Cricetulus griseus: one gene and its partner. Each later gene encodes a partner of the first gene's protein in a complex. Links are inferred from orthologs where the notes say so. Each region holds a gene or a part of one and is shown in the gene's direction. Other genes may lie near its edges.

Region 1 (4,253 bases):
TTAAGAATACTCACATTAAGAAAAAATAAAAAAATCAAAGAAAAAATACACTAATGGGCAAAATTTATATAATACAATAATTTTGATAGGCAATATGTCCACATTATAGTATACAAAAGCATATATAGTGAATGTCTTCCTATGAAGTGTTTCATAGCTTCTCTTTCAATAGGCAGCCATGTGCAATTTTTCAAGTAAGAATTTTACATTGTTTTACTTAATTTAAAATTTCTCCGCAGAGATGGCTCAATGGTTAAACTCATTTCCTGCTCTTCTAGTGGGCCCTTTTGGGTTCCCAGCAGCTACATCAGGAGTCTGAGAAACACCTGTAACTCTGGCTTCCCTGGGCAGCCACACATAACATACCCCCTCCAAACTCAAACTTTTTTCTTTCTAGTAGGGTTTGGTAGCACATGCGTGACTGTAATCTCAGCACTCAGCATGTGGAGGCAGGAGGACCAAGAACTGAAGGTAAGTCTTGGCTATAAGAGACCCTGTCTCAAAAACGTAAAACAGTTTCTATGCTCTGGTGATACGTTGCTGGCACTGCTCTCATACTATTTCATTTTTATTTTTATTTTATTTTATTGTCTTTGAGATAATGTCTTGCTAGATAGTCTAGTTGGCCAGGAAATTGGCCTGGATAGAACTGACTTTCCTGTAAGCGTTGGAGCTTGGATACAAAGGGATCCTGACAGTCGGGAGTCAAGGACTATCATACCACAAAGTCAATATAAGCGTAGCAGCTTAGCTCTGCTCGAGGGAAAGGTCTCTCCAGTGCAATCCTAGTGCTGGGATAGTAGGCATGCACCATCAGGCTCTGCATTCTTGCACAATTTGATTTCTCGAGAACTCCTTAATATTTCATAAAAGCCAGGAGGTGGTGGCACACACCTTTATTCTCAGCACTTGGGAGGCAGAGGCAGGCGGATCTCTGTGAGTTCAAGGCCAGCCTGGTTGGTCTACAAAGCTACACAGAGAAGCCCTATCTCGAAAAACCAAAAAAAAGAAAAAAAAACAAAACAAATAAAAGAGTCGATAAAAATTCAGTTAAGTGGGCTGTGGGTGAAGTTCCCTGGTACCATGCATGCTGGAGTATACTATGGGTCCTGGGTTCAAATTCCAGCACCGCGCATGGGGGTGGGGGACGTTTTACAAGTTTGAGCCGGAGGATCGAGTTGTTTCCGCACTCTCTTTGCAACAACACCCGAGATCTTACAGAAGAAAGAATATCTGTCTTCGAGTCAAAAAATCGGCTTCACAGACAACCGATGCTACGGAGCGTGGCAGTTGCTATAGTTCCCGGCGCCCGCAGTGTGACGCCAGTCAGTGGCGCCGTGTGATTACGTCATGGTTTCCGGCGCCTTTTTGCGAGCCGGGACGCGGGGAGGAGAAACTTAGCTATTAGTGTGGCAGGGTCATGAAGAGGAGGCGGTGGCGGGAGAGCGGAGGAGGCGGAGGGGCCGCGAACTTGCGGTAGCCAGCGCTTGGCTGGTGATTGTGGCAGGGCGAGGGTCCCAGCCTTCGGGCAGCGGCCGGGGCTCTGGGCTGAGCGCGGCCGTGGAGCCGCCGCTGCCGGTCCCCTGGCTCCGCCATGTTCCGCAGGGCACGCCTTAGCGTGAAGCCGAATGTCAGGCCTGGTGGAGGCGCCAGGGGCTCCGCCGCTCCCAATCCCCAGCGTGGACCGGAGGCTCCCAGGCCTCCCGAGCCTGCCACCGAGCCCGCTCCGAAGCCAGCGGAGCCTACAGATGTGCCTGCGGTGGATTCCGGAGGAGCGGAGCCCCAGGAAAAGGCGCCTGGGAGCAGGTAAGGTCTTGTAGAACGAGCATGATGTCGAACTGTTGGAATTTATATCACGGAGTACCTCGCCTCCAGCAAGCCTTAGGTTTGAGCTGGATGAAACCACTCCTAGCTGCAGTTTAATTCCCCGATCAGAGGAAGCGACTACTGATTCTGTCACTGTTCTCGAGGAGACCGTGTTTTACATGGATGGGAACCCTGGTTTCACAATTCTGAAGTCAAGAATAGGCACACTGGCACTTCGAAATTTAAGTAATTCTCCTGGAGTACTTCACACGGGGTTTTCATTTGTGAATATTTATTTTAAAAGGAGAGCACCAGTGTTGTTGAATTTTCCCCCCTCCTTCCACGCGGTAATCCGATTGAACCCAGGAACCCAGCACCTCACGCGTGTTAGGCAAACGCCCCGCCACTGAGCCACACTTGCAGCGTTTGTCAAAAGGGGAAGAGACTCAGGTTGCTTATTTTGTTATGAGTGTGCCCTGCTTTTTAGTTACTATGTTCCGTGAATTACGACGCCTCACTTTAGCTTCAAATACCACGTTTGAATTTAGGACTACTGCTGTAACAACTTAAAGTAGGTTGTCCTCAGAGAATATTTACTCCTGCTAGATGTAGTTAATAGTACTTCCTTTGGGGCAGTATTGTAAGATCAGATGTGATTGTATAAAATGTTTTGCCAGATGTAGTGTCACATGCATTTAGTCCTAGCAGTAATCGAGAGGCAGAGGCAGATGGATCTCTGTGAGTTCTAGGCCAGACTGGTCTACATAGTGAGTTCTAGAATAGTCAGGGCTATGTAGTGAGATGGTGTCAGAAAAACCAAATAAACAAAGAAAGGTGATGGTACAAATTAAAGATGTGACAGGTTAATATGATGATTGCAGTTTTTATAATACACAGAGGAAGAAGCCAATAAACTACTAATCACATTGAGTGACAGGGAGATGGTACAAATTATGTTTTCATAGCAACATTTCTTCTGTTGATCTGAGTTGGTGCTATGTGTTATTTTGATATTTCAATGATTCACTATAATTTCCAAGTCTCTTACTTGAATTTGTCTGGAAATTTCTACTTAGAATGAAAATACCAGTATTGGTCACTTATCAAAAGGGTTTGGAGATTTTTTTTTTTTGGTTTTTCGAGACAGGGTTTCTCTGTATAGCTTTGGAGCCAATCCTGGCACTCACTCTGGAGACCAGGCTGGCCTCAAACTCACAGAGATCCTCCTGTCTCTGCCTCCTGAGTGCTGGGATTAAAGGCGTACGCCACTAATGCCTGGCTGAGTTTGGAGATTTTTGTTAACTATGTAGGAATGCATTATGATTGATATTTTGTAAATTGCCCTTAAGCCACAGTCCTGAGACATCTAGATTATTTACACACACACACACACACACACACACACACACACACACACACACACACACACACACACAGAGACACACACACACACACTCGCACTTGTGTTTTGCTTGTTTGTTTTGTTTATTTATTTATTTATTTATTTATTTATTTATTTATAGACAGGATTTTACTATGTAGCTTTGACTTGCCTGGAACAAAGAAATCCAACTGCTTCTGCCTCCTGAATGATGGGATTAAAAGCATGTGCCACCATGCCTAGCAACTTCTTTCCTTCCTTCCTTCCTTCCTTCCTTCCTTCCTTCCTTCCTTCCTTCCTTCCTTCCTTCCTCTCTTCCTCCTTCTGTCAGTCCCTGCCTCCTCCCTCCCTGCCTCCTCCCTCCCTCCCTTCCTCCCTCCTTCCTTCCTTCCTTCCTTTCTTGTAGCTCAGGTTGGCCTAGAACTTATTGTTCATGAGAAGATGCCCTTAAACTTCTAATCCTCCTGCTTTACCTGCTGAGATGACAGATGTGTGCAACTGTGCCCTGGCTTATGTGGTGCTGGGGATGGAAGCCAGGACTCTTCAGGATGACCAAGCACTCTACCAGCTTAGCTGCATCCCAAGTCCATTTTTCTTATTTGATGAGACCATTTTGTTTTCATTTTTATTTGTTGTTGTTGTTTTTTTTTCTAGTTGTAGAAACCAACAGAGTATGCATTTAACATATAAAGTGCTGGTGACTGATATGTTATATTGTTTTAAGGGCTATAGTTTTTAGATAGAGAGTGCTAGAGACTGAACCCCAGAGCTTTGTGCATATTAGACAAGCAATCTACCATTAAGTTTTATCTATCTTCAGCCTTAAAAAAGAGTTTAAATTAAAAGTCTTTTTGAGAGACTATTCCAAGGTAGCTTTAATTTTATATAGAACTAATGATAAAATATGATAAAAGATTTTTATAGCCTTGATTTATATCCCCCTTTAAAATTTATCATTTATCTATTCTTTCTATCTATCTATCTATCTATCTATCTATCTATCTATCTATCTAAATGTGCATTGGTGTTTTGCCTGTGTGCATGTCTGTCTGTGAGGGTATCAGAT
Region 2 (4,053 bases), on another chromosome or scaffold:
GACAGCTAAGTCTACCACTCAAGATGTTAATTCAACAGTTTTATTTATTTATTTAGTTAGTTAGTTAGTTAGTTAGTTGGTTAGTTAGAGACAGGTTCTCACTGTGTTGCTCTGGCTGGGCCTGAACTGACAAGTAGACCAAGCTGGCCTCAAACTCTTTGTCTCTCAAAGGGTAGGATTAAAGGAGTATGCCATCATACCCAGTTATTTTGATTTATTTGTGACAAGATCTGATGTAGCCCCATCTGGCCTCCAACTAGTTATATAGAAGAAAATGACCTTGAATTTCTGATCCTCTTGCTTCCATCTCCCAAGGATTATAGGTGTGTACCATCCTGTCAGGTTCGATTCCCTTATTTTATAGTTGAAAACAAACAAAAACAAAATAGACTTTGAGTGAGGGAAAGCAAGTCATTTGGGGAGGCAGTTCCTTAAAACAGAGCACAATTATTGCTTCCTCGGTGCAGAGTAATGTGTTTTCTACTATGGTCAAATTTAACATTCCTTACTATAGAGGAAGGGACAAACTGATTCCATTTGACTTTCAAAAAGGAATCAGGTTGGCCCGGTGTTGGTGGCAGCGCAGGCCTTTAATCGCAACCTTTGGGAGGCAGGATCTCTGTGAGTTCAAGACCATCCTGGTCTACTGAGTTCCAGGACAGGCTCCAAAGCTACACAGACAAACCCTGTCTCGAAAAACACACAATAATGGGGTGGTTGGGGGAATCAGGCAGAAGTCCTAGTATTCTAGGTCAGCCTGGCCTACATAAGCAAGACAGTCTTAAAACAAATAATATATTATATGATATTTAAAAAACAGTGTTTTGGGGGGCTGGAGAGATGGCACAGAGCTTAAGAACACTAGCTGGACTTACAGAGATCCTGAGTTCAATCCCAGCAACCACATGATGGCTCACAACCATTTGTAATGAGATCCGGTGCCCCTTCCTTGTCTGCAGGGATACATGCAGACAGAACACTGTATACATAATAAATAAACAAATAATACATAAATAATTTTAAATAGTGTTCCGTAGACAACAATTCCTTATCTCTGCCATGTGTCAATTCCCAACGTATCCCAATTTCAAGACACCAAAGAACCTGCTACACAATTAAGCCCAGGAACCTTTCTTTCTAGCTCATGTTTCCACCCGAGTCCATAGACGAGATCGGAAGCAGAAAGCGGCTACGGGGCGGAGCAAACCAGTAGCCCGTTGTCCAGTCGACCGGAAGAGAAAGGTGCAGCCAGAATAAGGTCCCCTCCACTTCACTGCCGCCGGACAGTTGCTATACGCTCGTAGTAGGGGTTGTCCCGATGGTACTGCAGCACTGACAAATGGTGAGATGCCGAGCGGAAGCCGCTGCCCGGACTGCGGCTCCTCTGAGCTCGTAGAAGATTCGCATTATTCTCAGAGCCAGCTGGTGTGCTCCGACTGCGGCTGTGTGGTCACAGAAGGGGTCCTTACTACCACCTTCAACGACGAGGGCAACCTCAGAGGTACTGGGACCTGTCCTCGGGCCCTGGGGATAGCCTGGGGCGGTGGGATGCTTAAACCCAGATTCCTAGCTCCCCCCTTTTCTTGGTCATGCGCACAGTTAAATGTGGGAGAAGCTCGTTTAAAGTAAATTAGCTGGAGGAGGGTGCTAGTCATCTATTTTCTCCAATACCTCATATGGTGTCTGGCATTTAGTGGGTATACTGAATGGTGAATGAATGAAACGGAAAAGGTTTCACCCATCGCGTTAGACCTGGTCAGTGTCGAAGGCTTGTCGCTAAATTATTTGGGAATACAGCACGAACCATTATCCCATAGTAGTTTTTAGCATTAATTGGCAAAATGCTCCTCCCCTCCTTCCACTCTGTTGTTTAGTCCACCGGTTCTCTTTGGCCCTTTTGGGAGATCGAGTAACCCTTTCGCCAGAGTCGCCTAAGACTATCCTGCATATCAGCTATTTACATTCTAATTCATAACACTAGCAAAATTACAGTTATGAGGTAGCAGCGGAACTAATTTTTATGGCTGGGGGGGGTTTTACAGCATTAGAAGATTGAGAATCTCTGTGCTAGTCCTTGACTAGTGCAGCCCTCAAAATGGAATGTAACAGAGAACTAACTGGAAAAGTGGAATCACCAGCGCTGCTTCATATAGTTCTATACTATCTGTCTTCAGTGCCATTTGACTACTTAAAAAGCCTGGTGAGGCTGGGCGTTGGTGGCGCACGCCTTTAATCCCAGCACTCGGGACGCTGAGGCAGGTGGATCTCTGAGTTCGAGGACAGCCTGGTCTACAGAGTGAGTTCTAGGACAGCCTCCAAAGCCACATAGAAACCCTGTCTTAAAAAAAAAAAAAAAAAAGGCCTGGTGAACCTTTACTTTTGCATGGATGGGTATCTTCTCTGAGATGGGAAGTAGACAAACAATAATTTGCAATCTCCCTGGTCTTATGTGGTCAGGGGGCAAGGAGATGATTAATGAACAGAGGCTAAATGTGCTATTTGTTGTTTATTATTTTACAGAAGTGACCTATTCTCGAAGCACCGGGGAAAATGAACAAGTTAGTCGCAGCCAGCAACGAGGTGAGAATCAACCTCTTGCCCTGAAATTTCAGCTTTGCTTTATTTATGTGACTCTTTAATGTTTTGTTTTAATATTTGTATGCGTGTTGGAATTGCATGCATGTATGTATGTATGTATGTATGTATGTATGTATGTATGTGCACCAGTGGAACTGGAGTTATAGGTGGTTGTGAGCTGCCATTGGGTGCTGGGAACTGAACCTCAGGTCCCCTGCTAGAGCAGCAAGAGCTTTTAACTGCTGAGCCATCCCTCCAGCCCAGAGAATCAACTTTTTTTTTTTTAAAGATTTTATTTATTTATTATGTATACAACATTCTGCTTCCATGTATATCTGCACACCAGAAGAGGGCACCAGATCTCATAACGGATGGTTGTGAGCCACCATGTGGTTGCTGGGAATTGAACTCAGGACCTCGGGAAGAGCAGTCAGTGCTCTTAACCTCTGAGCCATCTCTCCAGCTCCGAGAATCAACTTTTTATGATACAGTGGCTTTAAAGAAAATTGTCTTGATATCCTAGTCTATCTGTGTGTGTCCTTGTTGTCAGCATCACCAATAAAAGATATAGGCTAGAAGAAAACAGTTACTGATGGGGTGCATGCCTACAGTCCCAGAACTCAGGAGGTGAAGCAGGATGATAGACTTTGAGGTCAACCCAGTTTTCACAGTGTGTGTGTCTTAAAACCAAAAGGAATAGAGGTAGGTGAAGGTTTGGGTCTGCACGGGGCTTAAAGTAGCCTCAAGAAACCTGAGTAAAAGCTTGGTTTTGGAGCTAGGGGGTAGGTTAGTGACAGAGTATGCACCTATCATGTGTAAGGCTTCGGGTTCAATCCCTCGTACCAAAAAATAAATAAACTTTGCCCTGGCTATAAGTTGCAATAGCTCATATAAAGGTAGTGGATTGAATGTGACCTTCCCACAAATTTTCTGTACCTTTGGAAGGACTACAGTTCTAAGGGGCTAAGACTACAACTCATCGATAAAGAGTTTGCCCAGCATGCTTGAGGATCTGGGGTCTAGCTGCAGCACTACAAAACACATCAAGTGTCCCATTAGGACAGAAGGGCATATTATTTGCACATATGCTATATATGGCAAGTTTAACAGAACTAAACTAAGCCCTAGACGAACTTGCTAGTAGGTATACATAACTTCCTTTGACCTCTCTGCTTGTGATGTGTTTCCCTAGATCTCCGTCGAGTGAGAGACCTGTGTCGAATTCTGAAGTTGCCCCCCACGTTCGAGGATACAGCAATCTCCTACTATCAAAGGGCCTATCAGCTGCCTGGCATCCGAGATGCTAGGCTACAGAAGAAGGAGGTGTTAGTTGGATGCTGTGTTCTAATCACCTGCCGGCAGCACAACTGGCCCCTGACCATGGGAACCATCTGCACCCTGTTGTATGCCGATCTGGATGTGTTTTCAGGCACCTACATGCAGCTAGTGAAGCTTCTGGGGCTGGATGTGCCAGCT

The links.
Region 2: Bdp1 (region 1) and Brf2 share a complex: the UniProt entries of both Homo sapiens proteins name them as parts of the TFIIIB complex. The link is inferred for Cricetulus griseus from reciprocal best matches to the Homo sapiens genes BDP1 and BRF2.

What each region holds. Positions count from the first base shown.
Region 1 is NC_048595.1:318,849,045-318,853,297, reverse strand, and holds the start of Bdp1 (transcription factor TFIIIB component B'' homolog), read left to right. Parts: upstream 1-1,396; 5' UTR 1,397-1,594; coding exon 1,595-1,806; intron 1,807-4,253. Other genes in the region: Serf1a (small EDRK-rich factor 1), read right to left, coding at 722-826. UniProt on the Homo sapiens protein: General activator of RNA polymerase III transcription. Requires for transcription from all three types of polymerase III promoters. Requires for transcription of genes with internal promoter elements and with promoter elements upstream of the initiation site.
Region 2 is NW_023276807.1:56,707,655-56,711,707, forward strand, and holds the start of Brf2 (transcription factor IIIB 50 kDa subunit), read left to right. Parts: upstream 1-1,239; 5' UTR 1,240-1,347; coding exon 1,348-1,501; intron 1,502-2,520; coding exon 2,521-2,580; intron 2,581-3,769; coding exon 3,770-4,053. UniProt on the Homo sapiens protein: General activator of RNA polymerase III transcription. Factor exclusively required for RNA polymerase III transcription of genes with promoter elements upstream of the initiation sites.